7 linked regions of the Canis lupus familiaris genome follow. The protein of the gene in region 1 interacts with the protein of each later gene in a biochemical or structural test. Links are inferred from orthologs where the notes say so. Each region holds a gene or a part of one and is shown in the gene's direction. Other genes may lie near its edges. The genes, in order: TRIM28, PCNA, FBP1, CBX1, IRF1, CBX5 and SIRT1.

Evidence for each region.
Region 2: the proteins of TRIM28 (region 1) and PCNA form a complex in vitro, tested with the Homo sapiens proteins (2 studies listed by BioGRID, with this or other methods). The link is inferred for Canis lupus familiaris from reciprocal best matches to the Homo sapiens genes TRIM28 and PCNA.
Region 3: the proteins of TRIM28 (region 1) and FBP1 form a complex in vitro, tested with the Homo sapiens proteins (2 studies listed by BioGRID). The link is inferred for Canis lupus familiaris from reciprocal best matches to the Homo sapiens genes TRIM28 and FBP1.
Region 4: the proteins of TRIM28 (region 1) and CBX1 form a complex in vitro, tested with the Homo sapiens proteins (3 studies listed by BioGRID). The link is inferred for Canis lupus familiaris from reciprocal best matches to the Homo sapiens genes TRIM28 and CBX1.
Region 5: the proteins of TRIM28 (region 1) and IRF1 form a complex in vitro, tested with the Homo sapiens proteins (2 studies listed by BioGRID). The link is inferred for Canis lupus familiaris from reciprocal best matches to the Homo sapiens genes TRIM28 and IRF1.
Region 6: the proteins of TRIM28 (region 1) and CBX5 form a complex in vitro, tested with the Homo sapiens proteins (6 studies listed by BioGRID, with this or other methods). The link is inferred for Canis lupus familiaris from reciprocal best matches to the Homo sapiens genes TRIM28 and CBX5.
Region 7: of the proteins of TRIM28 (region 1) and SIRT1, one has a biochemical effect on the other in vitro, tested with the Homo sapiens proteins (2 studies listed by BioGRID). The link is inferred for Canis lupus familiaris from reciprocal best matches to the Homo sapiens genes TRIM28 and SIRT1.

Annotation. Positions count from the first base shown.
Region 1 is NC_049222.1:100,138,305-100,142,765, reverse strand, and holds the start of TRIM28 (transcription intermediary factor 1-beta), read left to right. Parts: upstream 1-1,608; 5' UTR 1,609-1,894; coding exon 1,895-2,234; intron 2,235-2,576; coding exon 2,577-2,689; intron 2,690-2,889; coding exon 2,890-3,022; intron 3,023-4,461. UniProt on the Homo sapiens protein: Nuclear corepressor for KRAB domain-containing zinc finger proteins (KRAB-ZFPs).
Region 2 is NC_049245.1:16,928,612-16,932,695, forward strand, and holds the start of PCNA (proliferating cell nuclear antigen), read left to right. Parts: upstream 1-1,284; 5' UTR 1,285-1,480; coding exon 1,481-1,701; intron 1,702-2,761; coding exon 2,762-2,859; intron 2,860-3,027; coding exon 3,028-3,095; intron 3,096-3,984; coding exon 3,985-4,084. UniProt on the Homo sapiens protein: Auxiliary protein of DNA polymerase delta and epsilon, is involved in the control of eukaryotic DNA replication by increasing the polymerase's processibility during elongation of the leading strand.
Region 3 is NC_049222.1:72,684,718-72,689,183, forward strand, and holds the start of FBP1 (fructose-1,6-bisphosphatase 1), read left to right. Parts: upstream 1-1,580; 5' UTR 1,581-1,819; coding exon 1,820-1,989; intron 1,990-2,086; exon of another isoform or gene 2,087-2,101; coding exon of another isoform or gene 2,102-2,112; intron 2,113-4,466. UniProt on the Homo sapiens protein: Catalyzes the hydrolysis of fructose 1,6-bisphosphate to fructose 6-phosphate in the presence of divalent cations, acting as a rate-limiting enzyme in gluconeogenesis. Plays a role in regulating glucose sensing and insulin secretion of pancreatic beta-cells.
Region 4 is NC_049230.1:24,332,846-24,337,370, reverse strand, and holds the start of CBX1 (chromobox protein homolog 1), read left to right. Parts: upstream 1-1,600; 5' UTR 1,601-1,705; intron 1,706-2,536; exon of another isoform or gene 2,537-2,764; intron 2,765-2,777; exon of another isoform or gene 2,778-2,851; intron 2,852-4,525. UniProt on the Homo sapiens protein: Component of heterochromatin. Recognizes and binds histone H3 tails methylated at 'Lys-9', leading to epigenetic repression. Interaction with lamin B receptor (LBR) can contribute to the association of the heterochromatin with the inner nuclear membrane.
Region 5 is NC_049232.1:20,767,679-20,770,311, reverse strand, and holds the end of IRF1 (interferon regulatory factor 1), read left to right. Parts: intron 1-626; coding exon 627-762; intron 763-1,085; coding exon 1,086-1,198; 3' UTR 1,199-2,070; downstream 2,071-2,633. UniProt on the Homo sapiens protein: Transcriptional regulator which displays a remarkable functional diversity in the regulation of cellular responses.
Region 6 is NC_049248.1:45,635,921-45,640,256, reverse strand, and holds the start of CBX5 (chromobox protein homolog 5), read left to right. Parts: upstream 1-1,513; 5' UTR 1,514-1,673; intron 1,674-4,336. Other genes in the region: HNRNPA1 (heterogeneous nuclear ribonucleoprotein A1), read right to left, coding at 176-292, 844-858. UniProt on the Homo sapiens protein: Component of heterochromatin that recognizes and binds histone H3 tails methylated at 'Lys-9' (H3K9me), leading to epigenetic repression. In contrast, it is excluded from chromatin when 'Tyr-41' of histone H3 is phosphorylated (H3Y41ph).
Region 7 is NC_049225.1:19,900,619-19,904,916, forward strand, and holds the start of SIRT1 (NAD-dependent protein deacetylase sirtuin-1), read left to right. Parts: upstream 1-1,320; 5' UTR 1,321-1,338; coding exon 1,339-1,756; intron 1,757-2,032; exon of another isoform or gene 2,033-2,051; intron 2,052-3,547; coding exon 3,548-3,664; intron 3,665-4,298. UniProt on the Homo sapiens protein: NAD-dependent protein deacetylase that links transcriptional regulation directly to intracellular energetics and participates in the coordination of several separated cellular functions such as cell cycle, response to DNA damage, metabolism, apoptosis and autophagy.

The DNA of each region.
Region 1 (4,461 bases):
AGAGAAAGGCAGCAAAGATCTGAGGCCAGAGCCTTGGGGTAGCAGCATGGAGGGGGCGGGCCACTCAATGGGGGCGTGGCCCCGCGGACCCGGTGGGTGGGTAGGGGGCAGAGGCTCGTAATAGCTCAGCTAAGGGGCGGGGCGGGGGCCGGATTTGGGGGCTGCGGCCAGGCTGGAACAAAGGCAGGCACCGAGACAAAGCCCCACAGCCCCCCAACTCCCTCCGGGAACAAAGGCCACACCCCGCCCAGTAGGGCCAGACGCGCCTCCACTGCCACCACGCGTGGGCGCCTTGCTCTGCCCACGGTTTTATGTTTGAACCCAGAGTCGCGGAGTAGGGTCCTGGGGCCAGACTTGCCAGCCAGCATGCTCTCTGCATCCTCTCAAAAGCTGACCGCCGCCCCCTCCCCGCCCCCTTTAGCCTTGTTCTGAGCATAGAGATCTCAGCACCAGGAACCCTGCAAAAGGGCTCAAGGGCCACTCCAAGGACCAGCTCCGAGGCATCCATCCCTTCAGCTTTCTTCTTGCCTCAAACACGATCCCCTCCCAGACTGCTCCATCTCAAACAGGATCAAACAGGATCTTTCGGCCTCCACCGTAGGCCCTGCTTCCCAGCTCAGACCCAGCTTCTCTCCTTCCCGCACCCCCCAACACCCCCCCGACCCTGCCTAGCACCCAGGATTCTTGCCACAGACTGCTTCCTCCTCAGACAGGATTCCCACAAAAAGGCCATGGTTCTCTCAAACAGGGTTCCTTCCACCCCTCACAGGCCTCATTCTCCCCATCTGACAGAATTATCCCCAGACATTCTGCTTCCTCCCCCAGACAGAAACTCCTCTGCCCCTCCACCCCCAGGCCCCCGCATAGATGCTGCCTCATTCTCTTAGGATCTTGCTTCCTCCCTCTGATAGGGTTTTCCCTACACAGACCCTGCTTCCTTCCTTAGAATTCCTCCACTGTTGCTGTTCATTCGGTTCGCCCACCTGGAAAAGCATCCAAGTCAGCGCAGCGGTTGCCTAGAAGATGGGAAGGGGGCGCTTGGGGGGCCAGGCGGGATTTCACAGGACTCGCTGCTCTGTAGCCCCTTGGAATCTGTTTGCTTTAGGCAGGTTTTAGTGCTTGCAAGCTAAACAATAAAGCGATTAAAACCCAAAAGTCAACCACTTGGCTTAGAAGTGGGAAGGGGACTCTCGGCCTCTCTCTCTGAACGCAGCCTTTCTCCCCAGCACTGGCAGACGCCAAGACTGGAGACTTCTTTGGCCTTGGCCTAAGGGGCGGGGATTGAGGTGGCGGCCTGGACTGCCAAATCGCCTGCGCAGAACCGCGGTCAGGGGCTGGGACTAGAGGGGGAGCAAGCGCATGCAAAGGTGCGCGCGCCCCGCCCGGGCACAATGTTGCGGCGGTGATATCAATAGTTCCGCCCCTGCCGCACAGGCGGCGCCGAGGTGGTGGAGGCGGAGGTGGGAAGACCCGGCTCCGGCGCTTGCGTATTCGCATCCCTGCTCGGGGCGGCCAGCCCGGGCCCCGCCCCCGGGCGCAAGACGCCCAGCGCGCTTGCGCGGCGGCGTCGGCGCCAGTTATTTCTGTCCCGCCCCCCGGCCGCGGCTCTTTCTGCGAGCGGGCGCGCGGGTGAGCGGTTGTTCGCGTGGCGTGTGGCGCGGTGTCTGGGCGGCCTCTAAAGAGGGATCGCGGTCGTCGTCGGCGGGAGGCTAGCGGGCGGCTGCCGGCCGGGCTTCGACAGCGCCCCGCGCGCAGCGGGCAGTAGCCCAGGAGGCGCGTGGCGGCGCTCGGCCTCGCGGCGGCAGCGGCCCAGCCGTTGGCGGCGAGTGCGTCTGCGCCTGCGCGGCGGGCCCCGCGCCCCTCCTCCCCCCTGGGCGCCCCCGGCGGCGTGTGAATGGCGGCCTCTGCGGCGGCGGCCTCCGCGGCGGCGGCGGCAGCCGCCTCGGGCAGCCCGGGCCCGGGCGAGGGCTCGGCTGGCGGCGAAAAGCGCGCCGCCGCCTCGTCGGCCGCGGCCTCGGCCTCGGCTTCGGCCTCGGCGTCGTCGCCCGCGGGGGGCGGCGGCGAGGCGCTGGAGCTGCTGGAGCACTGCGGTGTGTGCCGGGAGCGCCTGCGCCCCGAGAGGGAGCCGCGCTTGCTGCCCTGCCTGCATTCGGCTTGCAGTGCCTGCCTCGGGCCCCCGGCGCCCGCCGCCGCCAACAGCTCGGGGGATGGCGGTGCAGCGGGTGACGGCGCCGGTGAGTACGGTCGGGCCGGGGCAGCCCATCCCCCCACCCCACAGGCTTTGATACCCACTCGGCGTCGGGATTGGGGGGTCTGTTCCCAGCGTGACGATGGCGGGGGATCGCCTGAGCGAGAGGATAGGGACGCGGATAGTAGTTGGTCAGGTTGAGTATGGGCAGTGGGTTCTGTCCTGGGCGTGAGCTCATATGCTGCAAGTTCGATGAAAGAAGGGTTTGGTTTCTGCTTCCTAATGAGAGGATTTGGCCTTCTTTGGGATGAAGGTTGGGCTCATTGGGGGGATGGGTTACGACTTGGCTGTGAGCTCATAATCTCATTATTTTGTTTGTTTTTGGCAGTGGTCGACTGTCCTGTATGCAAACAGCAATGCTTCTCCAAAGACATTGTGGAGAATTACTTTATGCGTGACAGTGGCAGCAAGGCTGCCACAGACTCCCAGGATGCAAATCAGGTATGTCCTGCCCTAGCAACCCCTAGGAGGCCTCAATACATGTAATCAGTTCCAGACTTTATTCTTCTCATACTACCAGTGTTTCGGCAGACTGTATAGGTTAGGTGAAGGCAACACTTTGCTTAGGTTGTGTTATCTGGGGTGTAGACGTGGATCTATTTGGCGTTTTTGCCTCTTCTCACTCTGCTTTTGCCCATTAGTGCTGCACTAGCTGTGAGGATAATGCCCCTGCCACCAGCTACTGTGTGGAGTGCTCTGAGCCACTGTGTGAGACGTGTGTGGAAGCACACCAGCGGGTGAAGTACACCAAGGACCACACCGTACGCTCCACTGGTATGCAAGGCAGAGCAGAAAGCCTTGGTTATCTTGCATATGTTCTCAACTGTTTATGGTGCTGGTTACTGATGATGGATGGGTCCCAGGGAGCTTTATCAGGGTACCTCTGGAAGGGTCTGAGGGCAGAATTAAAAAATGGGGCTCAGGTGTGTGGGTCCAGTGGGAGGGAAATGACCACAGAAGTGTGAGGGGGTGCACTGAGGATTCAGGCAAGCTCATCAGGCCCCTCCCCCCCGCAGCACACAGGGGATAAGCCCCAGTAGTGGAGGGGCTGGACTGGGGTTCCCTGGCAACTTGTTATGGTTCTGTAGGGGGAAATGAGACCTCTGAGCCACTGTGTTTAAGTTGCACAGGCCCTGAATAGCATTATGGAGAGTCTTAGAACTTTGGGTTATACATGTTCAGCTCAGGTAGGTATTTAGAGAGTGTTTCACTCAGGTAGGTATTAAGAGACTCCTGTAGACGCTGGTAGTGGCAAAGAAAAGGGCTTGGGATCTTTCTGAGTTTATCCTGTTTTTTTGTTCCAGAACACTCTGGGTCGCCTTTTGGTAGTTACATTGTGGCTTCTCAGTCCTAGAGCAGAGCATTGGCAGGAAAATAATAATGGAGATGGTGGTTGTGGGGGCACGAGGAATCAGGAGCCAGGAGCGAAGAGCAGGGATTTGTAGGAGGTCCTGGCTTAAGGCAAAGGGCAGAGTACAGGAGGCGGCAGTATTAGAGGATCCATGGTCTGGCTGATTTGTATCTCAAAGTCGTGTGTTTTGGGCTGGGATGATACAGCCAGGTTGTAAATGGGATTGGGTAGGAAAGAGGGATAGATTGTCTCAAGCAGCTTTTTAATGATGGTGACAGGTTGGGGGTGAGGTAGTATATTGGTCTTTAGGTGGTATTACTCAAAGTACCAGGACTCTCCCCTCAGAAGAGGGGTTCTGACATCTTTGTGAGGGTTGTGGTCTGACATTTCACCTCTTCTGAGAAGGCTTTGTAAGGCCTGGATCCTTTGTAGGTCTATGGGTTATATAAGTGGTTTGTGCATTTTTTTTTTTTTACTCGAGAGGGTAGATCACCAAAGTATGGCTTCTAAGGAAGCTGTGCTTGAATAGTGTCTCTAGTTTCTGATTTGTTTTTGTCTACACCAGCAAGCAAACATTTTATATGCTTGGATGGCACAGTAGCCAGAGTGCCTTCCTCTGCTGGACAGAACCTACTGCGAGTGGAGGAGTGGAGCCAGTGGTGCTTTTCAAGATGGAAGAGCTCTCCTGAGTATCCATTTGGGAAGGTTCTAGTAGAGGGAATAGTAAGAGGAAGGTCTCTGCCAAAGTCTTCAGATTTTGTTGTCAATATCAGTAGCTAGAAGGAGGAGTGATTTTTCTGGGTCAGGTTTGGGCTGAAGATTTTGAGAGGAAAGATTTAGGTTTACAGGCCTGTGCTTTACC
Region 2 (4,084 bases), on another chromosome or scaffold:
CGGGATCGAATCCCATGTCGGGCTCCCTGCATGGAGCCTGCTTCTCCCTCTGCCTATGTCTCTGCCTCTCTCTCTCTCACTGTGTGCCTATCATAAATAAATAAATAAATACATAAATAAAATTAAAAAAAAGAACCTGTTTAAAAAAAAAAAAAGGGGGGGGGGTGGGGGAAAAAAGGTGGGGGGAGGGGACGCCTAGGTGGCTCAGCGGTTTAGCGCCGCCTTCAGCCCAGGGTGTGATCCTGGAGTCCCGGGATCGAGTCCCACGTCGGGCTCCCTGCATGGAGCCTGCTTCTCCCTCTGCCTGTGTCTCTGCCTCTCTCTGTCTCTGTGTGTCTCTCACGAATATCTTAAAAAAAAAAAAAAAAAAATTTACAAATGGGGACACCTGAGTGGCTCAGTGGTTGAACATCTGCCTTTGGCTCAGGGCCTGATCCCGGGGTCCTGGGATTGAGTCCTGCATCAGGCTCTGTGCAGGGAACCTGCTTCTCCCTCTACCTACGTCTCTGCCTCTCTGTATCTCTCATGAGTAAATAAAATATTTAAAATCTTATTTATTTGAGAGAGAAAACATATTGGGGAGGGGCAGAGGGAGAAGGAGAGGTAGAAGCAGACTCCTCCCGGAGCCAGGAGCCAACCTTGGATCTAGATCTCAGGACCCTGGGGTCATGACCTGAGCCAAAGGCAGAGGCTCCACTGACTGAACCACCCACGTGCCCCCTGTAACAAGTTTTTAATATGCAGATCAGAATTTTCACGCAAATAAGCTTAGATTTTTAAAACAAGATTGCTGATATCTGTATTTAGGAAAATATTGTAGATTGCAATCTTTCAGTGGTCAGCTTAGCAACATTTATCAACACATCACTTCTACGATAGCAAAAATAAAATGCACTTTTAAAACAGCTGTATTCCTCGGGCCGCCAGGCGTCTTCCTCCCGGTGGGCTGGATTTGCCTTTCACTTTCACGGCCAAAGCCTTTCTAGTCCTGAAGCGGGAGGTTGAGGAGGCAGCACAAGGCTGTAACTCAAAGAACCCCAACCTGGGTCTGGCCGTCACAAGCCCAGACTTGTTCAGCGCCCGGCGTCGCGAGCGGGGTGGAGAAGGCAGTCCCGCGGGAGGCGGAGGCGCCCCGCTCCTGCCCCGCCCCTGCCCCGCCCCTGCGGCCGACCCTTCAGTGGACGTTCAGGGAGGACGGGCTGGAGCGGAGGCCAAGGACACTATTGGCCCCGGAGTCCGTCCGCCAGGGAGTGGGCGGGGCAACGTGGTGACGCGCCACGCGCGGCGCAGAGGCGGAGCGCGCGCGCCAGCAGACGCGGCGCTATTAAACGGTTGCAGGCGGAGCGGGCGGGCGGTGATCGTCCCGGCTCCCCGGCCCTCGCCGCTGCGTTCGCCAGCTCGCTCGTACCCCGTGACGCCAAGCCGGCTACAACTTCCTCTTCGTCTCCGCCTGCAGCTGTGTCGTTGTGACTCTGCCACCATGTTCGAGGCGCGCCTGGTCCAGGGCTCCATCCTGAAGAAGGTGCTGGAGGCGCTTAAGGATCTCATCAACGAGGCCTGCTGGGACATCAGCTCGAGCGGCGTAAACCTGCAGAGCATGGACTCCTCCCACGTCTCCCTGGTGCAGCTCACTCTGCGCTCCGAGGGCTTCGACACGTACCGCTGCGACCGCAACTTGGCCATGGGTGTGAACCTCACCAGGTGAGCCCCTGGGGTCGCCAAGGGCCGGGCTCTCTCGCACCCCCACCTCCGGCTCTTGGCGGGAGCGCCTGCGAGCTAGGTCCTCATTGGCTGGCGTGGGCGACCCGCGCCTTCTCATTGGCCTGCGGCGCCCAGGGGCGGGATCTAGCGGAGCGCGCGGTTCCGAAAGCCCGCGCTGGCAGCCGCGCGAACCGGCGTTTTCCGCGCCAAAGTCACAAAGCGGGTGGTGGCGGGAAAATGACGGGCTTCTTCGTGGTGCCGGGAAAAGACTTACACAGCACCTTGGCCACTAAGTGCCGGCGGCCTTGGATGAGAACCCTTTGGCTTGACTGCCTTTAACCGCTTTATAATGTGCCCGAGTTACGTCACCCTACCTAGGGACCATCGGTTGATTCTGGTCCTTTATTATTAGGAAGTTGCAGTGAGCACCCTAAGTTCCTGGACTTAAAATTTCTCCAGGGCAGTGGCTTTCAACTCTTTGATCACTACATGTCTAGTACATGAACATGTTTAAAGATTTTATTTATTCGTGAGAGACGCAGGCAGAGGGAGAAGCAGGCTCCCTCAGGCTCCACATAGGGAGCTCTATGTGGGACTCCATCCCAGGACCCCGGGATCACGACGTGAGCCAAAGGCAGGCGCTCAACCACTGAGCCACCCCGCCTTCCAAAAACATGTTCAAATATGAGGCTTATGAGAAATAGTTGACCTCGACTGCATGCAGTGTGTATTAATAAGTATCTTAGCTCATTTTTCTTGACCGTCAGGACCCAATAATTTGCTTCGCGCACCAAAGGGATTTGCAATTTGCAATGCGTGAAATGCTGCTCTTTTATTTGTATCTAGAAGTGAAATTGCTCATGGTAGGCTGTGTGCCTGTTTAAGAATAAATACTGCCAAATTGGGTTACAAAATGGCCGGATTAGTTTACCTCACTCACCAATTCCTCAGACGACCTTGGTAAATAAAGATGGTAACTCCTTGTTTTAATTGGGTCAGAAATCTTAACGATTCTGAGAACGTTGTGGCAATTTTAAATCCTGTGTCTTCCGTGTTCTAGCATGTCCAAAATACTAAAATGTGCTGGCAATGAAGACATCATTACACTAAGGGCTGAAGATAATGCGGACACCTTGGCACTAGTATTTGAAGCTCCAAGTAGGTGATACTCTTCTACTAAATTATATTAGAGGAAATTTAAATGCAGTGTAAAAGATTTCTCTTAGTTGTGAAAAACTTAAGAAAATGTTCCTAATGATTGTAAAGCTTATTAATGGCATAGTTATAAACTTACATACTTTTCTTCAATCTGCTTTCTTTTGGTAGATCAAGAAAAAGTTTCAGACTATGAAATGAAGTTAATGGATTTAGATGTTGAACAACTTGGAATTCCAGTGAGTATTAAGAGTAGACTTTAAAGCAGTGTTAGGGGATCCCTGGGTGGCTCAGCGGTTTGGCACCTGCCTTCCGCCAGGGGCATAATCCTGGAGTCCCAGGATTGAGGCTCCCTGCATGGAGCTTGCTTCTCCCTCTTCTTGTGTCTCTGCCTCTCTCTCTGTCTCTGTGTCTTTCATGAATAAATAAATAAAATCTTAAAAATAAAAATAAAGCTGTGTTAGCAGAAATTCATTCAGGTGAGGTTTATCAACATAAGAAATGTTGAGATGTTTAAAATCCTTACTATCTTATCTTCTTGTTTTGTTTTGGTAAGCAGTTGGGCCTGCTTGCACACGCATCATCATTTGTAGGCCATACCCTAATGTCCTCTTGATTTAGCCCTGGAGGGGGATTTAGGGGGAGGCTCTTTTCTCCTGGATAGTGCATTTATCATTAAAGATTTAAACTTTAATTTTAGTTTTCTTAGTATGATTATTCTTATGACATATTGTTTTAAAAATTTTTTTTTAATTTTTATTTATTTATGATAGTCACAGAGAGAGAGAGAGAGAGAGAGAGAGAGAGGCAGAGACACAGGCAGAGGGAGAAGCAGGCTCCATGCACCGGGAGCCTGATGTGGGATTCGATCCCGGGTCTCCAGGATCGCGCCCTGGGCCAAAGGCAGGCGCCAAACTGCTGCGCCACCCAGGGATCCCCATACTTGTTTTATATCTGCATTTATTTTTTGAGTTAGAGATTATGTTATGGAAATACACAATGAGTGATATTTTAAAGTAATCAGAAAACCTTAAATTCTGAATTCTTGTCTAAATGCTGAGGCTTCAGAAAAATGAGAATGCCAAATTTAGTTTCCAGCAAGTGAACTCTAATTTTTCATTTTAACAGGAACAAGAATATAGCTGTGTGGTAAAGATGCCTTCTGGAGAATTTGCACGTATATGCCGAGATCTGAGTCACATCGGAGATGCTGTTGTAATTTCCTGCG
Region 3 (4,466 bases), about 27 Mb from region 1:
TACAGATGAGTGAAATGTTCTTCAGTGAAGATTAGTAACTTGCACAGGCTTCTACCACTGTGAGGGGCAAGGCCAGGGCTGAGACCCCGGCCCTCTGGCTCTAGAGTACGCACTCAACCACCATGCTAAGTGGCCCACCTCTAAGGGCTTGCCTTGTAGGTGGTGGGCGGAAGGCATCAATAACAGAGCCGAGACAGGTCTGTGACATGTCTGCAGTGTTTCCTCTGTGTCAGTCCCCTTGGAACTGAGTGCTCTGCCAACATCATTTCATGGCATGCTCATGACTCCCATCTAGAACAGTCATCCCACTTTACAGACAAACTGGAAGTAGACAGATTGGGTAAAGGGCCAGAGAGGCCAGAGCTGGGAATGCAGCAGGCCTGTCTAACCCCAGTCCTGAGCTCTTCAGTGCTTACAGGGCTGCTTTCCAAAGGTTTACACTTCAGGGGGACTGGATTGAACTAGCTGACTTTCAGGGTCCTAGCTAATCTGGGATCCCCAGGGGCTAAATGTCTGACACAGAAAGGGACAAACTCAGCTGCTGCTGCTGTCATTACATTTCAGATATCATGTTTAAGGAAACATTACGCTTACCAGCCTTTTTTTTTCAGTGAGGGTTTCCTTCACTACTCTAGTTTTTAACACTGCACCCCAACATTCCCTGTCCCCATTTCCTATTTCATTTTTCTCTACTGCTCACATGGCTCATCTAACATACCAATCTATTGTTGGTTTATTATTTATTTTTCTCTGTTAAAATGTAAGGTCAAAGAAGGAGTTTTGTCTGTATTGCTCAGGCTCTGTCCCCAGGGCAGCAAAAGACAGTGCCTGGTGCATAGTAGGTGTTCAATAAATGTTGTTCATGAATCAGTGTTGTCTTAAGACAACAGTGTTCTGGCTACATAGAGATCAGAATGTGGTCTGCAGAGTGTCTGGTCTCAGTGTGGCCTTCAGGGGACATTTCCCTGTGTCTGTGACTGTTTTTTTCTGCCAAACGCAGATACTTGAAAACTATGGTTTCCAATAGTTCTGGAAAGAGAGGAATCCTGAAAAGAAGAGGCCTGAAGTGAAGGATCCAGCCACGGGCCTTCAGACCCGTGAGGGACAGGGAATCCGCTTCTCCCAGGTTGGTGAGAAGAGCCCTGCGGCAGGCCGAGCAGGTTTGGGGAGGGCGGGGAGCAGGGGGCAGGTGGAGGCTTGAGGGGGGTGCGGGGGCGGCGGCGGTAGAAGCCCACGCGGAGACCCCGGCGCCCGCCAGCCCCCCCTCCCCCCACCCCGCGCCCCGCCGGCGCTGCCCTCACCCGCAGGACTTCCGTCTTGCAGCCTGGAGGGAGGGAGGGAGGGGTCAGGGCTGCCCCTGGGCGCCGGCTGGGGTGGGGACTGAAGGAGGTCCTGCAGGTGGCCCTGGGTGCCACTCCGCAAGGCCGAGGCCGGAGGCAGCCGCCGCCCAGACGCGGGGGCGGAGGGGGCGGAGGACGGGCCCCTGTGGGGCGCGGCGGCCCGAGGACCACACCGGGGCACCGGCGGGTCACCGCGGGGTCGGCGTGGGCGGAGCCGCGCTCGGAGCGGGAGGAGGCCCGGGGGCGGTGGTTTCCGGGGGCGGGGGCGGCGACCCGCGCCTATAGGCTCCCCGGGCCCCGACCGCGGGATCCTGGCCCGGCCGGGGTAGGCTCCGAACCGCGCCGACACTCCGGGCCGAGCCGAGCCGAGCCGAGCCGCGTCCTCCGCCGCGTCCCGCCGCGCGCACCTGCCGCCCGCACCTGCCGCCCGCACCTGCCGCGCTCACCTGCCGCCCAGCGCGCCTCAGGCCGGCCTCAGCATGACCGACCAGGCGGCCTTCGACACGGATATCGTCACCCTGACCCGCTTCGTCATGGAGGAGGGCAGGAAGGCCCGCGGCACCGGAGAGATGACCCAGCTGCTCAACTCGCTCTGCACCGCCGTCAAAGCCATTTCCACGGCCGTGCGCAAGGCGGGCATTGCGCACCTGTGAGTCGGGCCTCCCAGCTATCGGGCCGCGCCCTGTCTGTCTGTCCTGTTGGGGGTCTGCTCGGCAGTCCCATGTGCGGGGCCCTGGGCCTCCTGCTGTCAGCCTGCCTGCATGTCTGGCAGGTGGGAGTCCGTCTCTCTCGCTCTTTTTCTCTTTCTCTTTCTCGGGCAGCCCCTCTCGCAAAGCTTGTTGGACTGCAACCAAGCCCTGGTCACCCCTCCCTTCGGCGGGACCTGGCTCACGGTTCACACCTGCCTCTATCCTGCAGCAGTCTCCCCTGGACTGAGCAGTCTGCCTGTGCACCCGCTCTCAGGCTCCTCCTGCTGAAACTGGCTGGCCAGGCTGAGCACCTGCCCAGCCCACCATACCCAACCCAGCTTCATACAGGAAAGTGCCTGCACGATGCTTCCTTTCCCTTTCTCTCCTTTGATCTTCTTCCCTCCCTTTGGAATTGGGGACCCAAGTCAGGTTTTTAATTTGGTATCTCCTTTTTTTTTTTTTAAGATTTTATTTATTTATTAATGAGAGACAGAGAGAGAGAGAGAGGCAGAGACACAGGCAGAGGGAGAAGCAGGCTCCATGCAGGGAGCCTGATGTGGGACGCTATCCTGGGTCTCCAGGATCACGCCCTGTGCTGAAGGTGGTGCTAAACCGCTGAGCCACCTGGGCTGCCTAATTTGGTGTCTCCTTTACCCTCAGTAAGTCACATTAGGAGTGAAGGAAGCCCCAGGCAGGCTGGGAGGAAGCATACATGTCCAGACCTCTCAGGAGCAGCTGTGCTTGTTGCAAAGGGCTGTAGTAGGTCTGGGGCCGGGCCTGAGATTCAGATTCTGCATTTCGAAGAAGTTCTGTGGCAGGTGGTGCAGATGCTGAGAGTCTGCAGATCACATTGTGTGTAACAAAGAAATCATGGGACTTGGGGATTCGTTGGGCACCTACTTATGAGGCCTTTTGTAAGTAACACAAATACCCTTTGGTTTATTCTGGTGTGCACATTTTTTTTTAAGATTTTATTATTTATTCATGAGAGACAGAGAGAGAGGCAGAGACACAGGCAGAGGGATAAGCAGTCTCCATGCAGGGAGCCCGATGTGGGACTTGATCCTGGGTCTCTAGGATCATGTCCTGGACTGAAGGACATGGCCCATAGGTAAATAGCAAACAAATGGCATCATCATTCAACAATATAGAATGAATATCCTTCACTGTCAGTATGTATAAATCCACCTCTTTCTTTGTAAATGTTGTGTAGTGTTCCAGGAGTAATTTAACTCTTTCTCTAGGTTTGGCCATTTCACAGGTCTTTGTTTCAAATAGTGTCATACCTATGGAACAGGAGTTGGTGCCTGGTTGACAGGGCATGGCCAGGAATCTGGACACTCCTGTACTCGTATGGGAAAATAAGAATTTGGCTATGTCATTATGACATATAGTCAGTCGGGCAGGCAGCAATAAGACAGGGTCTCAAGCCAGGCCTCCAAATCACACTCATTATTTGCTTTGATATCTTGGATAAAAAGGCCAGTGTGCCTGCAAATAACTTTTTCAGCTGAAGGCTTGCCCTAGAAGGGCACGTACCCAGAGGTACGTCAACAAGATGATGACAGATTTGCAAGAACCTCACAGGTCTGAGTTTATGGAGCTCAGACATGGTGTTTCATCAGGGACACATCAGGAGTTTAAGAGTTGAGCCTGGAGTATCCTCTCTCTCTCTCTCTCTCTCTCTCTCTCTCTCTCTCGACCAACAGTTGCTCTTGTCGCCAGTTTCATTGTGGTTAATAAGACATTTATAGAATGGTAGAATTTGGCTGTCCAACCCTTCTTTGTACAGCTGAGGGCCTTGAGGGCAGGGGAGAGGAGGTGAGTGGGCTTGTTGCCTGGGCTGGGACTCTTTATGCCATGTGTCTCTGATTTTATTTTTCAAGCCAGTTAAAGCTCAACCAACTCTAAATCTCACCTATTTATTTTATTATTTTTTAAACATTTTATTTATTTATTCATGAGAGACACACAAAGAGAGAGGCAGAGACACAGGCAGAGGGAGAAGCAGGCTCCATGCAGGGAGCCCGACATGCCCGACCATGTGGGACTGGATCCCAGGACTCCAGGATCATGCCCTGGGCCGAAGGGAGGTACTCAACTACTGAGCCACCCAGGCATCCCTCACCTATTTATTTTTGATGCAAATTAAGAATTGTACCTCAAGAAGCCATTGCCTTCTAGAAAACTTGTTCTTGAAGCCTTATTTCTGTGCTCTGGCTCTCCCCTACTCACTCCCCAGAGAGAAAGGATGCTAATCTATACAAGGGGCAACCAGCATTTTGTTCTCCCAGGAGAAGAGTCAGCAGACCATAAGTGGATCTCCAGTGGCTTAGGCTTTTGCTTTAGGCATGTAGAATTGACTTGCCTTTGTACATGCTTCCAAATCACTGCTTGAAGAATTCACTGGTTCTATTTAATTCAACAAAATGTACTG
Region 4 (4,525 bases), on another chromosome or scaffold:
TTCAAGAATGGTGTAAAGCATCTGTGCAATGATTCCCTCTACTTGAAATACCCATATAAGGAGCCCAGAATTGGGACTCCTGGGTGGCTCAGTGGTTGGACATCTATCTGCCTTTGGCTCAGGGTGTGGTCCCAGGGTCCAGGGATCAGGATCGGTCAGCATCGGGCTCCCTGCCTGGAGCCTCCTTCTCCTTCTGCCTGTGTCTCTGCTTCTATGTCTCTCATGAATAAATAAATAAAATCTTTTTAAAAAGAGCCCAGAATTTACTAACAAACTATATGTGCTAGACCTGAAACTGTGTTCCTATGACGTAGGTTTAAGATAATTGTGACATTTAGCTGAGAGAAGACCTTGGGGGAACATAAGGGCTGAATTTCAATACTAGAAGGATATATGAAAGGGGAATTAGGTTTATAGAACACAACTGTGTGCAACCACACACCCAGAATTAGGAGGAAATGGTATTCAACATGGGAAAGCAGAATTCAGCTCACTATGAGGAATTAGGTATGGTAGCATTTCATGTGGGCAGAATTATGGTTTGGAAGTTAGAGATAACATCAGACTTCAGTTCTACCACCTTCTTGCTGAAGGTCATTGGTCACATTACACAACCTGAGTCTTTTCTGTAAAATGGAAATAGTAATTCCCACTTCCAGCATTGTTTAGGATTAAAAAACACTAATCAGGGCCTTAACAGGGGCGCCTGGGTGGCTCAGTCGGTTAGGCGTCTGCCTTCTGCTCAAGTCATGATCCTAGAGTCCTGAGACAGAGATGGCTCGGGGCTTCCTCCTCAGTAAGTTGTCTGCTTCTCCTTCTTCCTCTGCCACTCCCCCTGCTTGTGCATGTGATCTTTCTCTCTTTCTGAAATAAATATATATTTTTAAAGATTTTATTTTTATTTATTCATGAGGGACACACACACACAAAGAGAGAGGCAGAGACATAGGCGGAGGGAGAAGCAGGCTCCAGGCCGGGTCCCAATAAATATATACATTTTTAAATCAAGGCCTTAACAGGATTCCTAGTGCTGAGGTAAGCATTAATAGGAATAGTTAATATTGGGATCCCTGGGTGGCGCAGCGGTTTGGCGCCTGCCTTTGGCCCAGGGCGCGATCCTGGAGACCCGGGATCGAATCCCACGTCGGGCTCCCGGTGCATGGAGCCTGCTTCTCCCTCTGCCTGTGTCTCTGCCTCTCTCTCTCTCTCTCTCTGTGACTATCGTAAATAAATAAAAAAAAAAGGAATAGTTAATATTATTAGAACTAATTTTCTCATCGTTACAGTTATAAAAACAAAATAGGAGACTTTAGGAAGGAGTGAGTAGATGGACTTTTACTCTCCATGGACATTAAACCCAAATGTCTCAGGAAGAATTGTCCTCTTCTCTGTGCTCTCACGGCTCTTTTATTTGGTTGGGTTTCTTATACCACAATTCTCCAGAGCCCTGCACAGTGCCTGACTCAGCAAAACTGTTAACGTAAATACTCTGACGTGGAATACAGTAGACTGGGTTGGCTTTCTTCTTTACCTCTGATTAGGAGGCTATTTGAATATTCAAATAAGAAAGAAAAAAAGTCATGTTCTGGTAGTTCTATTTAGTTCCTGGTCAGATAGAAAAAAAAAGAAGAGTAAAGGAGAGAGAAAGAGAAACACTCACAAATCTGATGTGAAGAAAATGCTAATAACCTCCACTTTCCGTTAGGTAAGGAGATGAACATTTCATTAATGCATTTAATCATTTATTCAACAATTATTGCTTGACAACTGTATGCCAGGGACTATACTGGGCACTGGGTATAGAGTGGTAAACAACACGAGGCAAGATTTCTGCCTTTATGGAGTTTAGGGAACAGCACACACCAACTAAAGACAATAAAGTGGAGGAATGACATGAGACGGAATTTCCAGTATGAATAGGTTTGAGGACAGCGATATAGTTGAAATCAGAACTAAACCATTTGTCTCGAAGAATAACAAGAGGTGGTTTTCACCTCTTTCCATGTTTTGGGAGGTGGCTGGGTGAGGAGTGCTGGTGGGGATGAGCGGGCTCTGCACTAAAGCTCTCCACTTGGCACAGCCAACGAAAAAGGTAAGTTCGAAAAAGGTAAGATGCCACGATGACAACGACCAGGGGAACCTAACCTAGTCTAAGCGTCAGGCAAGCAAGACTCCCAAGGGGAAGTAGGAGCCTTACACAAATTTGAGGCAGAAATTGAGGATTACAGAGATTATTGGAAAGTCAACAAAACTCTGGTGAGACACCTATTCAGATTAAAAACTTTCGAGGATGTGAATTACTGCCCAGAAACGGTTGATTTTTCGGACCAAGCATCATGGGGGTCACTTGCGAAACCAGACGCTCTAATGCTCTAGGCTGCAGCATTCTAAACTACACTCGTTCCAGCGCTTGCAGTTTAAAAACTAAAACTCCCCGAACCCCTCGCCAACTCCGCGTGGTGGCGTAGGACGCGCGCAGCACTTCGGGTCTTGTAGTCTGGGAGGGACTCCGAATCCCATACGGCTGTGCGGAGGGTCGCCGCGCCTGCGCGGTGCGGGCGGCGGGCAGCGCCGAGTGCGAGGCTCTTTTGTTCGGCTGAGGGGAGGGCCGTTGGCTGGGGCCTGCGGTACGCCGCTTCAGTGAGGGGCTCGACTGCGGCCACCGGCTTGTTGCTTTTCTGGGCGCCACTCCCCCGGCCGGCCCGACGCGACGCGCCATTAGCGCGGCACCGATTCCTCTCGGGCTCTTGGGCGCTGCTCTGAGGTGAAGAGCCCGCTAGAGGCGGGGACGCGGGGGGGAGGCGCGCGGCGGCGGCGGCGGCGGCGGCGGCGGCAGCGGCGGGAGCCCTGGGTGAGGGGCCGCGCGGGCTTGCAGCGGAGGGTGGGAACGGGGAGCGCACCCGGTCCCGCGCCCTTCCCGCACGGGGCCCTCCGCCGGCTGCAGGGGGTCGGGCGCCGGGCGCGAAAAGGATGGAGAGGGCGGGGCGGGCGGCGTACTCTGAGCAGGAGATCGAGACGATTCGGGGTGGGCCGAGCCCTGGCGGGTCGCTCCTCGGGGCCTGGGTGGACCGAGACAATGCTACGTAGGTTGGGTGGGCTGCCGGATTGGGGGAAGACACTTGAGTACAGCGAGGAGGGGACAGGCTGGGCAGCCTTGATGTTTGGACACGGCGAGGGGAGGGCTGACGGCTGCGAGACCCTTGGCTTCGAATGCCACCTGAGAATTTGGGGTCCGGCCGGGGCTGCCAGCGGAATTGCCGCTCGCCGGGCTAAGGACAAGTAACTTCGAGGACATCTTCGAGGGGGCTGGGCAGTCCAAGGTGTGCTACTCGGGGAGGAGACCTGTTGGATAAACTGAAGAGGGGGCTAGGAGAGGAAGGGGCAGTTACGTGCCGAGTTGGATCTGGAGAGGGAGGAGCTGAGAGAGTAAGTAGGGCGGAGGCCCCGAGAGTGTTTCTGTGAGGAGTTGAAAGGGGAAAACCGGCCGCCTTTGATTCCTGATGGGTCCTCACACAGTGGGGAGGCTGTAAGAATAATGTGTGAAGAAAGGACAAAAAACCCAGATTTCTTCCCCCTTTCCAGGTTTTCTACTGCCTCAGCTCTTTTGATTCCTTCGGGGAGTTAAAAAAAAAAAAAAAATCCCAAGTGCAGCGCTTGCTTGGATTCACAGTTACATACGTTTTTATCTGGGATCGTCACTGGTCGCAAAAGACAGTGGTATTGTAGAAACGTGTAGATGGGTTCATACTTAAGGAATTAAGTTAGTGAGAGATATGTAAGATGATGTGGGAAATGGGGAGACAAAGAAGAAGAGTTAGTGAGATCGTGAGATTTGTTTCCTAGGCTCTTATGATTTTCTTGCTTTGCTTTGCTTTGCTTTGCTTTGCTTTGTCTTCTTTCTTTCTTTCTTTCTTTCTTTCTTTCTTTCTTTTTAAGCTAGCCTTTCTTTGTTGTTACAAAATTTGAATACGGGAATGAGCAGTACTTCTTCAAAGCTTCAGATGAAGGTTTTTCATGGATGGCCTTATATGCAGACTTGAATTGGTTTAACTCCATTGAGGTGGAGTTTACAAAAAGATCAGTGATACTGGAAAACTCTGGCCAGGGTTAAGATCGCCTCCTCAGTTGTATTAAGAATCGTGTTGGCAGTTTGGAATAGCTCTGAAAAGGTCCAAAGTTTGGAATGGAAACATGAATACAATTGGGAAATTAGTGCCTGTGTTCCTCCCTAGGTGCTTACAGGCATTTATATTGTAAGTGGTATGATTGAGTGGGAAACCCGTTGGAACTTGGAACTGGTCACACCTTAATAAAGCTTTAGCGGGGGTTCAGGATCTTCATTCATTTCCAGTTTTCCCTTTGGTGCTGTTATTCTTCTTTGGCTGCTGTAGCCTAAGTTTTTTCATTAAAGATGTAAATAGTGCGTGTAGCCTGTTGCTTCTAGCTTCGTGATTGAAAGGGACCAAGTAAGGATACCCTAGCCTTCTGCGTTTTTGACTGCGGGATACTGATAATTTTCTAACCA
Region 5 (2,633 bases), on another chromosome or scaffold:
CTGCGTCCTCTGCCCCAACAGGCCCCAGGCCTGCTGCCCTGTTAGTTAGGGAAGTGCACATCAGGTTTTAATAATCAGCTTTTGGGATCTGGGATCTGATGAGGGATTTTTTCCTTTTCTTTGTTTCTTTTCTTTTTTTCCTTAAAGCAAATTATTCTCCAGGGGTGTGTTGTTTTTTTTTTTTTTTTTTTTTTTTTTTGTCCTGCTTCAATCTTAAAAGCGAATATAAAACAGTTGTTGCAGTAGTTGTACCCAGGCTGTGTTTCATCAGCATAGAAAACTTGAGACGTAGGCATAGCTCCCTATCTCTAGCTTTTCTTTTCTTTTCTTGACTTGTGATGCTGTTACTTTATGCCACATTCCTGGTTGGTATGTCCTCACTCAGCTGAGGGGGAAAGTCTTAGGAGATTCTGTGCCAGAGGGGAGATGTAGGAGCATGAGTCCAGGGCAGATCCACAATTCGCAGGCCCCTGTCCTAACCACAGTCCACATTTGCATCCATCTGAGAACATGCAAATGACCAAGGGTACGATGCTGGTAGGGAAGGTTTGGCTCACTGAGGGCAAGACCAGAGGATGAATCTGCCCTGGAAGTAACCTGATGGTTCCTTATTCCTCTGTCACCAGCTCTTGGAGCAGACGGGGTGGCAGCCGACAAACGTGGATGGCAAGGGGTACCTGCTAAATGAACCTGGGACTCAGCCCCCCTCTCTCTATGGAGACTTCAGCTGCAAGGACGAACCAGAAGTTGACAGCCCTGGGGGTAAGAAGTCCCTGTAGCTGGAAGGTTTCTCCGAGAAGCGAGAAACTGGCAGGGGGTGGGTAGGAAAGGGCTGGGGGACTGGGCTAGGGAGCAGGAGAGGCAAAGCATCTTTCTTCAACTCTTCTTGGTACAGACAGCTTACAAACTGGCTGCTGCTCCCACGTACTCAGGTCTGCCTGAAGATGGAGGCAGGGTGCTTACTGCCATGTGGGGACAGTAGAGGCGGCTGTGTCTGTGGCCTACAGGGATAGGGCTGAGGGGCAGGAGGGGAACACACCTGTCTTTACCCTCCATCCTCATACAACCTTCTTCACATCTTCTAGGGTATGTTGGGCTGATCTCTTCAGATCTGAAGAACATGGACACCAGCTGGCTGGACAGCCTGTTGACTCCAGTCAGACTGCCCTCCATCCAGGCCATTCCTTGTGCACCATAGCTGGGCCCTGGCCCCTTTGACTCCCCTAGGTGTTGAGCAGGACCTGGCATCATGGTTGCCATGATGCAAAGAAACAGGATTCCTGTGGGCTCCTTGACATGGCAGAGAATGACTCCATTGCTGAGCAGGGATGGAACCTCCCTCCTTAGGACAGTGACCCTTTAGGTTCTGTTAGGCCAGGGTCTGGGCTCATCTTGTGGGGTAAAGCTGGCCCTGCCTCCTGGGAAGATGGGATTATGAGATTGATGTGTCAGATGGAACTCTCAGAGAGGAGTCAGCCTCCAGCTTTCCCCCTCAGCCCGACTGCCTTGAAAGGGTCTCGCTGTTGCTGAGGTGGCCCAAGGGAACAGACCAGTGACCTCAGAGAAGCACAGCACCAACCCCAGGGCTGGCTCTGCACTAAGAGACAATTGCACTAAGGGAATCCTGTTCCCAGAGACCCTCCCCCCCTTCCCAGCTGAGCCCTAGGGACTGTTCCAAAGCCAGTGAAATGTGAAGGAAACGGGGCCCTGCAGGACAGTGCTCCCTCAGCTGTAGAGGAGCTCCGCCCTGCTTGGGCTCAGGGGCTTGGGAAAGAACATGGCACTTTTTCTTGTGGACCTTGCCACTTTTCTGATCAGAGGTGTACACTAACGTCTCCCCCAAGCTCTCAGCCTTTACATTTATTTATGTTGTGCCTTGCCCTGCGCCCACCTGCCCCCTCAGGCAGGCCCTGGCAGCCCTCAGCAGGCCCTGGGAGGGAAGTGGGAGCGTCTTGGTGTGATTTTTAAAATTGGAAACGCCATCTAACCACTAAGTCATGTGTGACCACATATGTACATGTGTGTAAATATGTACATTTATCTTTTTATAAAAAGTTAATTGTTTATAAAGGGTGTGGCCTTTTATTTAGAGATAAACTGCAAGTGGTTTTTTTTCTTACAGAGACATTTTATTTTGATGGAGTCATTCTTGGCATCCTGCCTGAACTTGACTGGGGGGTGAGCAGTGACATGCATCTATTGCAGAAGCCTTCCAGTTATGTTCATAGAGAAGATGACAGGAAAAAGGGACAATCACAGTACAGGGACATGCTCATATAAATATAATCACTTGCCCTTAGATTTATAGCCAGGCTGTGAGTTGAACTGGGGCTCCAAGGTCTGGACAGTGTTAGGTTTTTCAGTTCTGAGTAATGTGTCCCATAAACTATATGTCCTGCTAAACTCAAATCCAAGGGTATTCAGATGCTACTTCAAAAAGTTAACAATTAGTACTGCATGGTCATGGACAGTTACAACAGACACCAGCCCAAAACAGGTTCCTGAGGCCTGTTGTGGTGGGCATTCCTTGTCCGGTTTTTGCAGTGATGAAAATGTCCTCTCCCTCTGTACTGTCCACTGTAGTAGGTAGTGGCGAAGTCACATGTACCAACTGAGCACTGGAAATGTGGCCA
Region 6 (4,336 bases), on another chromosome or scaffold:
ACGAGGCCCTCCGGCTCCCCGGGGCCGCCACACGTGCATCTCCTCCCGGGAGCGCCTCCGCGGCTGGGACCACCCCTTCCGGCGCCGGCCGGCTCTCCGCCCCAGTCCCGTTAACCGCCGTCGGAGCGGCGGAAGCCACCTCGCTCCCGGGCCCTCCGTCTCCGGCACGTCTTACCACACAGTCCGTAAGCGTCCCCCATTGCTCAAAATGGCTCCTCAGACTCTCATCGGTCGTTTCGAAGCTCAAACCTCCGATGAAGAGTTTCCGCAGCTGCTCGGGCTCTTTGGGAGACTAGGAGCGGGGACACAGCTCGTTACGTGGCGCGCCCAACGCCCAGCCCCGTCCCGTTGGGAGGAAAATCCTAGACAGCAGCGTTACAAGGCACGTATTGTTCCCTCGGGTTACGGGAGGCCACGTGCTTCTCCCCTCGGGGGGGACCGAGCGGTGGGGGCTGGGAGGCCGCGGGCGCATGCGCCCCGACTCTCCCTCCGACGCACGCGCAACAAAAGGACTCGGCTGGACGGACGCCGAAGCGGCGGGGAACTACGGCTGCTCCGCAAGAAACTCGCTCCCGGAGACACGATCAAACAAAACCCGTCGAATGCGCCCGCGAGTTCTGCCGGGAGGGCGCAGCCCGGCGCCACAGCCAAGCGCTGCAGGACGGCGGCCTCATGGCGACGACGAGGACAAAATGGCGACCTCAACTTCGGGAGGGGAAGGCCCTGGCGGCCCCCGAAGGGCTGCCGAACGGGCTGGCGCGAGCGGCCACGCCAGGCCGCGTCCTACCGGCCCCAGGGAAGGAGTGAGGAAGGAAACTAGGCGGGAGACAGCGTGTTACTCACCTCTGACTTAGACATGACGGCGGTGGGAGGGGAGACTTTAACGATGCTTACTCGGCGGCGTCCAGGGGCAGAAAGGAGTAATCTAACGAACGTATCTGCCAGCCTACCTTCGGCCTCGCTTTTTTATCCCGCCTCCTCGCTTTAGGCATTGGTAGACTCCGCCCCTGAGCGTCTCTGATTGGATGTTTGCGATAGCCTCCCCCTGCTATTGGTCTATAGCCCCGCACTGCTGCGCAACGTCATCCGCTTGGGCGTTCTACGCAGGCTCCGCCCCTTCAGGTCTATTGGTTCCCGGGTAATATTATTCCTAATTACTGTGATTGGCTCGTCAACCAGTCATTCATATTTGAACGAACCTAAGGTATTTAAATGAATTTTCAATCCATTCCGCCCCGAAATTATGTTCCGCTCAGTTGGCGAAGCACGGTAAATGCTAATATATTACGAACGAGGTTATCAGGTGATTTTTTTTTCTTTTTTTTTTTTTTTGCAAACGACCGCCCGCCGGGCGCATGTGTAGTAAAATGGCGAGTTTACGCAGGCGCACTAACCAGTTCCGCTCGGCGCTTGGAGCACGTGAAATGGCGGGCGGGAGACGGCGGCGACTCTACGGCGCCTGCGTCGTGGCGGGAGTCGCGCCCCGCTCTGCGCAGGCGTAATGGGCGGAGAAAGGGTCCGGTCGCAGGATTGGCCGCGCAGGCGCAGGGAAGGATCCGTTTTGGCGGGCGGTTGGCGTTGCGCAGAAGGCGGCGGCGGCGGCGTCCCGTGGTCCGGCCTCGCCACAGAGGAACAGGGGAGGCGTTGGCGCGAGTGGCCGGTCTCGATTCCGGGTAAGCGGCGGATCGTCTCGCCTACTCATACGAGGTGTTGAACTGACTCCAATTGGGCCCGTTATTGTGTGAAATGAATGGAGCGCGGGGTGGGGGCTCGTAAAGGGGGAGCGCTGGGTTCAGCCAACCAATGGACGGCGGGGGCGGGATGTCTGCCGGCCGGGAGTGCCGTGGGGCTCCGCGGCCCGGAGTCTGACTGGCTTGCGCGCGGGCCAATCGGGTCCGCCTTTGCCGCCGACGGACGGGCCCTCGGGCCCTCGGGACGTGGGGGCGGGCCCTGCGCCCTGAGCAGCGTCCCGCCGAGCCAATGGGCGCCGAGCGCGCCGTAGGTTGGGCTCCTCGGAGGCGGCGGGCGGACTCCGAGGGGGAGGCCCCGCTGTGGAGCCGGCGGCGGGCGGCCTGCGGACGGCGCCCGGGCGGGTCGCCCAGTCAGCGGTGCGGAAGCGGGAGGCCTCGCTGCGGGCTGTGGAGGAGCGGGCGGGAGGGCGCGGGGGCGCGGGGGCGCGCGTTCTCTCCACAGTGGCCGCCGGCGCCCGGCGCTCGGGCCTTCACCCCACACGCGTTTCCGGTAGGGAGACCCTGACTCTGTGGCGTGTCGCTTCGGCTTCGGCATAACCGCTCCACGCGCTCGCGCACGCGCACGCGCACACGCACCCCGGGGCTTCTGGTCGCCCCGCGCGTGGAGGCTCCCAGGGGAGCTCGGCCGGTCGTCGGGAACCCGCTTGGCCGGCAGCGTCCGCGCGCATCGGAACAAGAGCCGCTGCCGTCGCGGACAGGCGCCGACCCACGTGTGCGCGGAACGCCGCGGCCTTCCCCGGACCGGTGGCGGATGCTCGTGAGCCCGCAGGAGAAGTGTGGGAAGGGCCGCCTCCCGCCGTGCGTCCGTGTCCAGGGCCCGGGTGGGATCCGGGCAGGTGGCGTCCCTCCCGCTCAAGTCCTTTCAGGGATCGCAGTTTGTGACTCGGTGAAGATGGGAAAGGCAGCCCTCGTGTTTCCAGGCACGATCCCCTGCTCCTCCCCTCCCCCTGTGTCATCCCTACACCACGAGAGAGTGCTGTCCTCCCCCCCCCCCCCCCGCCCCCCCGCGCGCCGGCGGAACTAACACGGTGATGCTCAGAATAAAAACACAATTTTAAAAACTTGACTTTCTTTTGTGTACTTAGTACCTGCCAGGGAGACGCTGTGCTAAGTAAGTAAACCCTTTACACGCATCATCTGTGTTTCCACGCCTTTACCTCAGTCTTTTTTTTTTTTTTTTTTACCTCAGTCTCTTCTGTGAACTTTTGTATCTTTCTTTACACCATTAAAAGGTTTCTTTCCTTTTTTTTTTTTTTTCTTTTTTAAAGATTTTATTTATTCTTGAAACACACAGAGGCAGAGACACAGGCAGAGGGAGAAGCAGACCTCCCACAGGGATCCGGATGCGGGACTGGATCCCAGGACCCCGGGGTCCCGCCCTGAGCCCAAGGCAGACGCTCCACCACTGAGCCACCCAGGCGTCCCATCCATTAAAAAGTTTCCGAGACTCTTTCTGCTATTCCTCTAAGGATGTCTGAATTTTGACAAATTGCTTAACATGGATGATATTTAGGGTGTTAGGGGTAGGAGGACTCCTCCATCACCTGGATTATTCCATTGCCTTCATTGTATTTTCTTCAAAGTGTTTATTTTACAGGCACTGTAATCACCTGTTGGTAACACCCATTCAGCTGATTTGAAGATGTTTTAGTAAAAATAAAGACGTTTTCGTTACATAATGGTTATATCAGAATCTAAATTGCCCTCTTGATCAATGGCATAAGGTTATTAGAAAGATGTTTAGATGCTGTAATACGTTTAACTGTGTATGAAGGACACTTCTGATTATAGACCTTTGTGACATTATACAAAGGAAAGTTAATTTTAGTTGTCCATATAATGAAGACTGGAGAGATTTGTGTTTTCTGACACTTGCAAGAGGACAACTTGATTTCGTATTTCCTTATAAACTGTAGGTGTGCTAATCAGCTGCTTCTGCTGAGTTTATAAGAACTAAAGGGATCTAAATTACAGTTCTCCCTAATTTATTTAGGTTCAAAAGAAATAGTCTTGACTTACGGGATTTCTTACAGCACTATTGACATTTTAAGCTAATAAATGCATTTCACCTCCTCCCTCACACCCATTTGTGACTATCAAAATGTCACCACACATTGCCAGATGTCCTGGGGATGTCAGTGGTAGTGATGGTGGCGGTGGTGGTGCAAAATCTTCCTCGGTTGAAAACTGTTGATTTAGGGGTGCCTGGCAGGCTGGGTCTGAGGAATGTGACTCTTGGTCTCAGGGTGGTGACTTCAAGCTCCACGTTGGGAGTGCAGCTAAAGAATTCACTATTAATAAAAAAATTTAAAAAGCAACGTTGATTTAAGTTGACATGCTGGAGGTACCTGGCTGGCTCAGCAGAGGAGCATGCAACTCTTGATGCTCTCGAGTCATGTTTGAGCCCTACATTGGGTGAAGAGATTACTTAAATTTACAAAAATAAATAAAATGACAGATGCTAGAGTTGATAATCTTGTCAAAGTATTTTATTTTAATAATTGGAAATTAGTGGGAGAAGGTGAATGAAGTGTTTAGGAAGTAGCCTTTGATAAATGGATCGCTAAATCTTAATGGTAATCTCT
Region 7 (4,298 bases), on another chromosome or scaffold:
TGTTCAAAGGCAGTTCATAACAGGTTGTACCAGGACTCGTTGCATCTGATTTAGCACCAAGTAAGAGTAAATATCCCACTGAAGATGTAGCTGATTTTTTCATCCACCTCTCATCGCCCCACTCTTCCTGCCTTTTTTTCCTTTAGATAGTTCTAATGCCACACTGCACAGGTGGTAGATGCCCTACCAAACATTGGCTCTAGATCTGCCATGTATTATTGGAGTCTTTAGTTAAGACTAGATGTAGAGTGACAGTGCTCTGGAATTTCAGGAAAGTGGAAAGTAGAAGGGCTTCTAGTATGCAAGGAACTTCATTCATTCATTCATTCATTCATTCATTCAGGGACTGGTATTTTTGAGCTACTCCTCACTTTACATCTATCTTCTAGCTTATCAGTATAGGTCTTACAACCCTACAAATGTTACCATTTTAAAGATGAGAACATTGCCTATAGAAAGGCTAAATTGCTCATGCTAGTAGGTGAGAATCTCAAATTCCAACGCAAAGTCCCAAGCGTAGACCCGCCAAGTCATCATGTTCATTCTGCTCTTTGCGAATGGCCCACTTGACCCGATGCGTTCAGAAGGAATTCAAGACACCTTTGCAGCCCAGGTGGTGCCAGAAAACAAACAGGCTGATCCCCGGCGCCCCAGGTCAGGGGTTTTCAGGGGGAACACATGCCTTTAAGGATGACAATTCACACCACCCTACAAGTGATGGGGCTGGGGGGGGGGCAGTCAGCTAGAGACAGGAGCAAGAAGTAGGAAGAGGAGCCAAGAGGAGCTGTCACATTGGTGTGAGGATGAGGAGTGAAGTCTTTTATCCTCCACTTAGGCTGGTGGACACGACTATCCAGCGTGCGAAGCTCGGCCTGGGCCAGCTTCATTCCTCATCGTTTCTCAGGAACTAAGTTTTAACCCTTTACCTTAAACCTGGAAAAGACTAAAGCAAGCGAGCCGTGCGCTTCAGACTTCAGCGGAAACTCGCAGGGGGAACCAAAAACTTGGGCCGGCCGGGCGACAGCGACGCGAGGCCGGTTTCGAAGAGCGGCCGGGAGCCGGGCGAGCGCGGCGGCCGGACGCGCCTGCCGCAGAGGGTGGGTGGGGCCGCGCTTCCTCCCAGCCCACGCCGCCTCCGCCCGCCACGTGACCCGCCGTGTTGTGGTCCGGCCCGCGTGGGTGGCGGGAGCGGCGGGAGGGCGGGAGGGCGGGGGCGACGGGGCCGGGTCACGTGACGGGGTTTAAATCTCCCGCAGCCGGAGCCGCGGGGGCGCCAGTGCCGCGAGTCGAGCGGGAGCAGAGGAGGCGAGGGAGGAGGGCCAGAGAGGCAGTTGGAAGATGGCGGACGAGGCGGCGCTCGCCCTTCAGCCCGGCGGCTCCCCCTCGGCGGTGGCGGCCGAGAGGGAGGCCGCGTCGCCGCCCGCCGGGGAGCCACTCCGCAAGAGGCCGCGGAGAGACTGTCCTGGCCTGGGGCGGAGCCCAGGCGAGCCCGGCGGGGCGGCCCCTGAGCGGGAGGTGCCGGCGGCGACCGGGGGCTGCTCCGCGGCGGCCGCGGCGCTGTGGCGGGAGGCGGCGGCGGGCGGGGAGCGGGAGGCCCAGGCGGCGGCGGCGGCGGCCGGAGAAGGAGACAATGGGCCGGGCCTACAGGGCCTCTCCCGCGAGCCGCCGCCGGCCGACGACTTCGACGACGACGACGACGACGACGAGGGCGAAGAGGAGGAAGAGGCGGCGGCGGCGGCGGCGATTGGGTACCGAGGTGCGCAGGGCGCGGGCGGCTGGGACTGCGCATCCCCTCCTCCCTCTCTGGGGCCCCTTGCGGTGTAGGGCTTTGGGGGCTCCGGGGGGCGGGCTGGGGGCTCAGGTCTGGCCTGCGGCGCCCCCTTCCCACCGCGGGCCTCGGCTGCGCTCCTCCCCGGCTGCCGGCGGGGCTGCGGGAGCGGCCCGCGCACCCCCTCCCTCCGCTCCCTTTTTCCCTCCCTCCGCCGCCCGCCTGCGCGGCTTTGCGCTTTGCGCAGCCGCCGGGCCGCGAAGCTCCCGCAGTTGGTTTTAAAGTAAGTTTCTCTCTCCTCCTACTCTCTTAGCTTATTGCCTTTGTTTAACATCTTTCGCTTTTCCGTATCCCCGCTTCCTTGCACACGTAAGTCTGCAACTTTTGCCCGTCCCTTTTCATCAACCTTTTGCAGTTGTCTTTGCAAACTGATACACCTGTGCAATTCACGGCTTTTTTTTTTTTTTTTGAGGGCCTTTATTTTTAAATTTTAAGGAGCAAAGCTATTTCTAAAGTCATAACCCACAAAATTTGAGAAGCATCGCTAAATTTCTGAAATGTTGCAATGAATGCGTATTGGGAGACTGATAGTACTTTAAGACTAGTAAAGTAGGCTTTTTTCTTTTCTTTTTTTAAAACATAAGATTGTATTTATTCATGAGAGAGAGAGAGGCAGAGACATAGAGGGAAAAGCAGGTTCTCTGCGGGGAGCATGATGGGATCCCAGGACCCCGGGATCACGACCTGAGCAGGTTCTCTGCGGGGAGCATAGGGGATCCCAGGACCCCGGGATCACGACCTGAGCCAAAGGTGGACTCTCCACCAACTGAGCCATCCAGGCGCCCCAATAGTACTTTTTTTTCCTAATTATATATACTTAGAATGTTTTTTAGATTAGATATAATTTTGCGTGTATGTGCGTATCTGATAACCCTGAAACACAAACTCATTTTTGTTGTTGTTGTTATGTTAAAGCAGATGTGTTAGTTGTGTATGTCATATCATCTTTGAGAGTTTTCATATTTTTCAGTCTGAGGAGTTTCTGTCGTGAATGTTCGTCTTTACCAGTAAATTCAATCTGGAGCATTTGATCATAGAAGTGCATTAAGTTCTTGATTAGTAAATCACTTATTGATTTCTGTAAACAGTTTAATATGGGAAACGAATAATGCAAATATATCTTTGGAAGTCTAGTATTATGTAAGAGAAGGGCAAATAATTGTCATGAATTTGAATGATTTCTGTTACATTTTTGACCAGTTTCATGAATTCCCATTACTTGTGATCAATAAGTTCAGTTTAGATTACCACTCTGTGTTTTGATTAAGTAAACCTAACTTATTCCTAGATTTTCATGAGCTGAAAGTTTTAAGATTCGGTGCAGAATGTGTAAAGATGTGCATATATGGCTCTTAGAATGGTGCAAGCTGACCCAGTAGGAAGTTTTTAACCTAGGTACTATGAATGAATGTTCAGTGGTTTATTCAGTGAAAGTCATTGCATCATAACTGTTACAGATTTGTATACATTTTATTTTATTTTATTTTATTTTTAAAGATCTTATTTATTCATGAGAGAGAGAGGCAGAGACACAGGCAGAGGGAGAAGCCGGCTCCTTGCAGGGAGCCCGACGTGTGGGACTCGATCCCGGGTCTCCAGGATCACGCCCTGGGCTGAAGGTGGCGCTAAACCGCTGAGCCACCCGGGGTACCCAGATCTGTATACATTTTAGAGGCAGATTGTTTCATCAGCCTTTAGTTACTTTGGTTTCTTTTGCAGATAACCTTCTGTTTGATGATGAAATAATCACCAACGGTTTTCATTCCTGTGAAAGTGATGAGGATGATAGAGCCTCACATGCAAGCTCTAGTGACTGGACTCCAAGGCCCCGGATAGGTACGGTTTCAGAGCTTTAGAGAATAATGTCTTTTTCTTTTTTGTATTTTTTTATGTCAATTAAAAATAGTTTTCTGTACCCTTATAACTTGATGAGGTTTTTAGGTGCTTCTTGAGATTTAGTGTCAGCTTGTGTTTCTACGGAAGGTCTAGTACTTTGTTCTTTTTGGTTTTAAACAGTTTAAGCCCCTGGAAGCTGGCCTCTGGTATTTCTCAATCAGGTCCTTCTCACACCACCAGTTCTTTTCACTTGTACCTCTCTGTGTGGAGTGCTTTTTCTCCAGCGTATCTTGCACTCTCTCAATTCAAGTCTGTTTTTTTTCTTTTCCTTAATACTTAATCACTTTTTTTTTAAGATTTTATTTCTTTATTCGTGAAAATACACAGGAGAGAGAGAGGCAGAGACACAGGCAGAAGGAGAAGCAGGCTTCATTCAGGGAGCCTGACATGGGACTCGATCCCGGGTCTCCAGGATCAGGCCCTGCCTGGGCTGTGCTAAACCGCTGAGCCACCCAGGCTGCCCCTTAATCACCTCTTAATAAGCTCTGTATCTTAAACATTTTTTATTTCCTGTACTAGAATGTAAGCCCCACAGGGGCAGGGATTTTTGACTGGTATACTGTTTTGTCAGTAT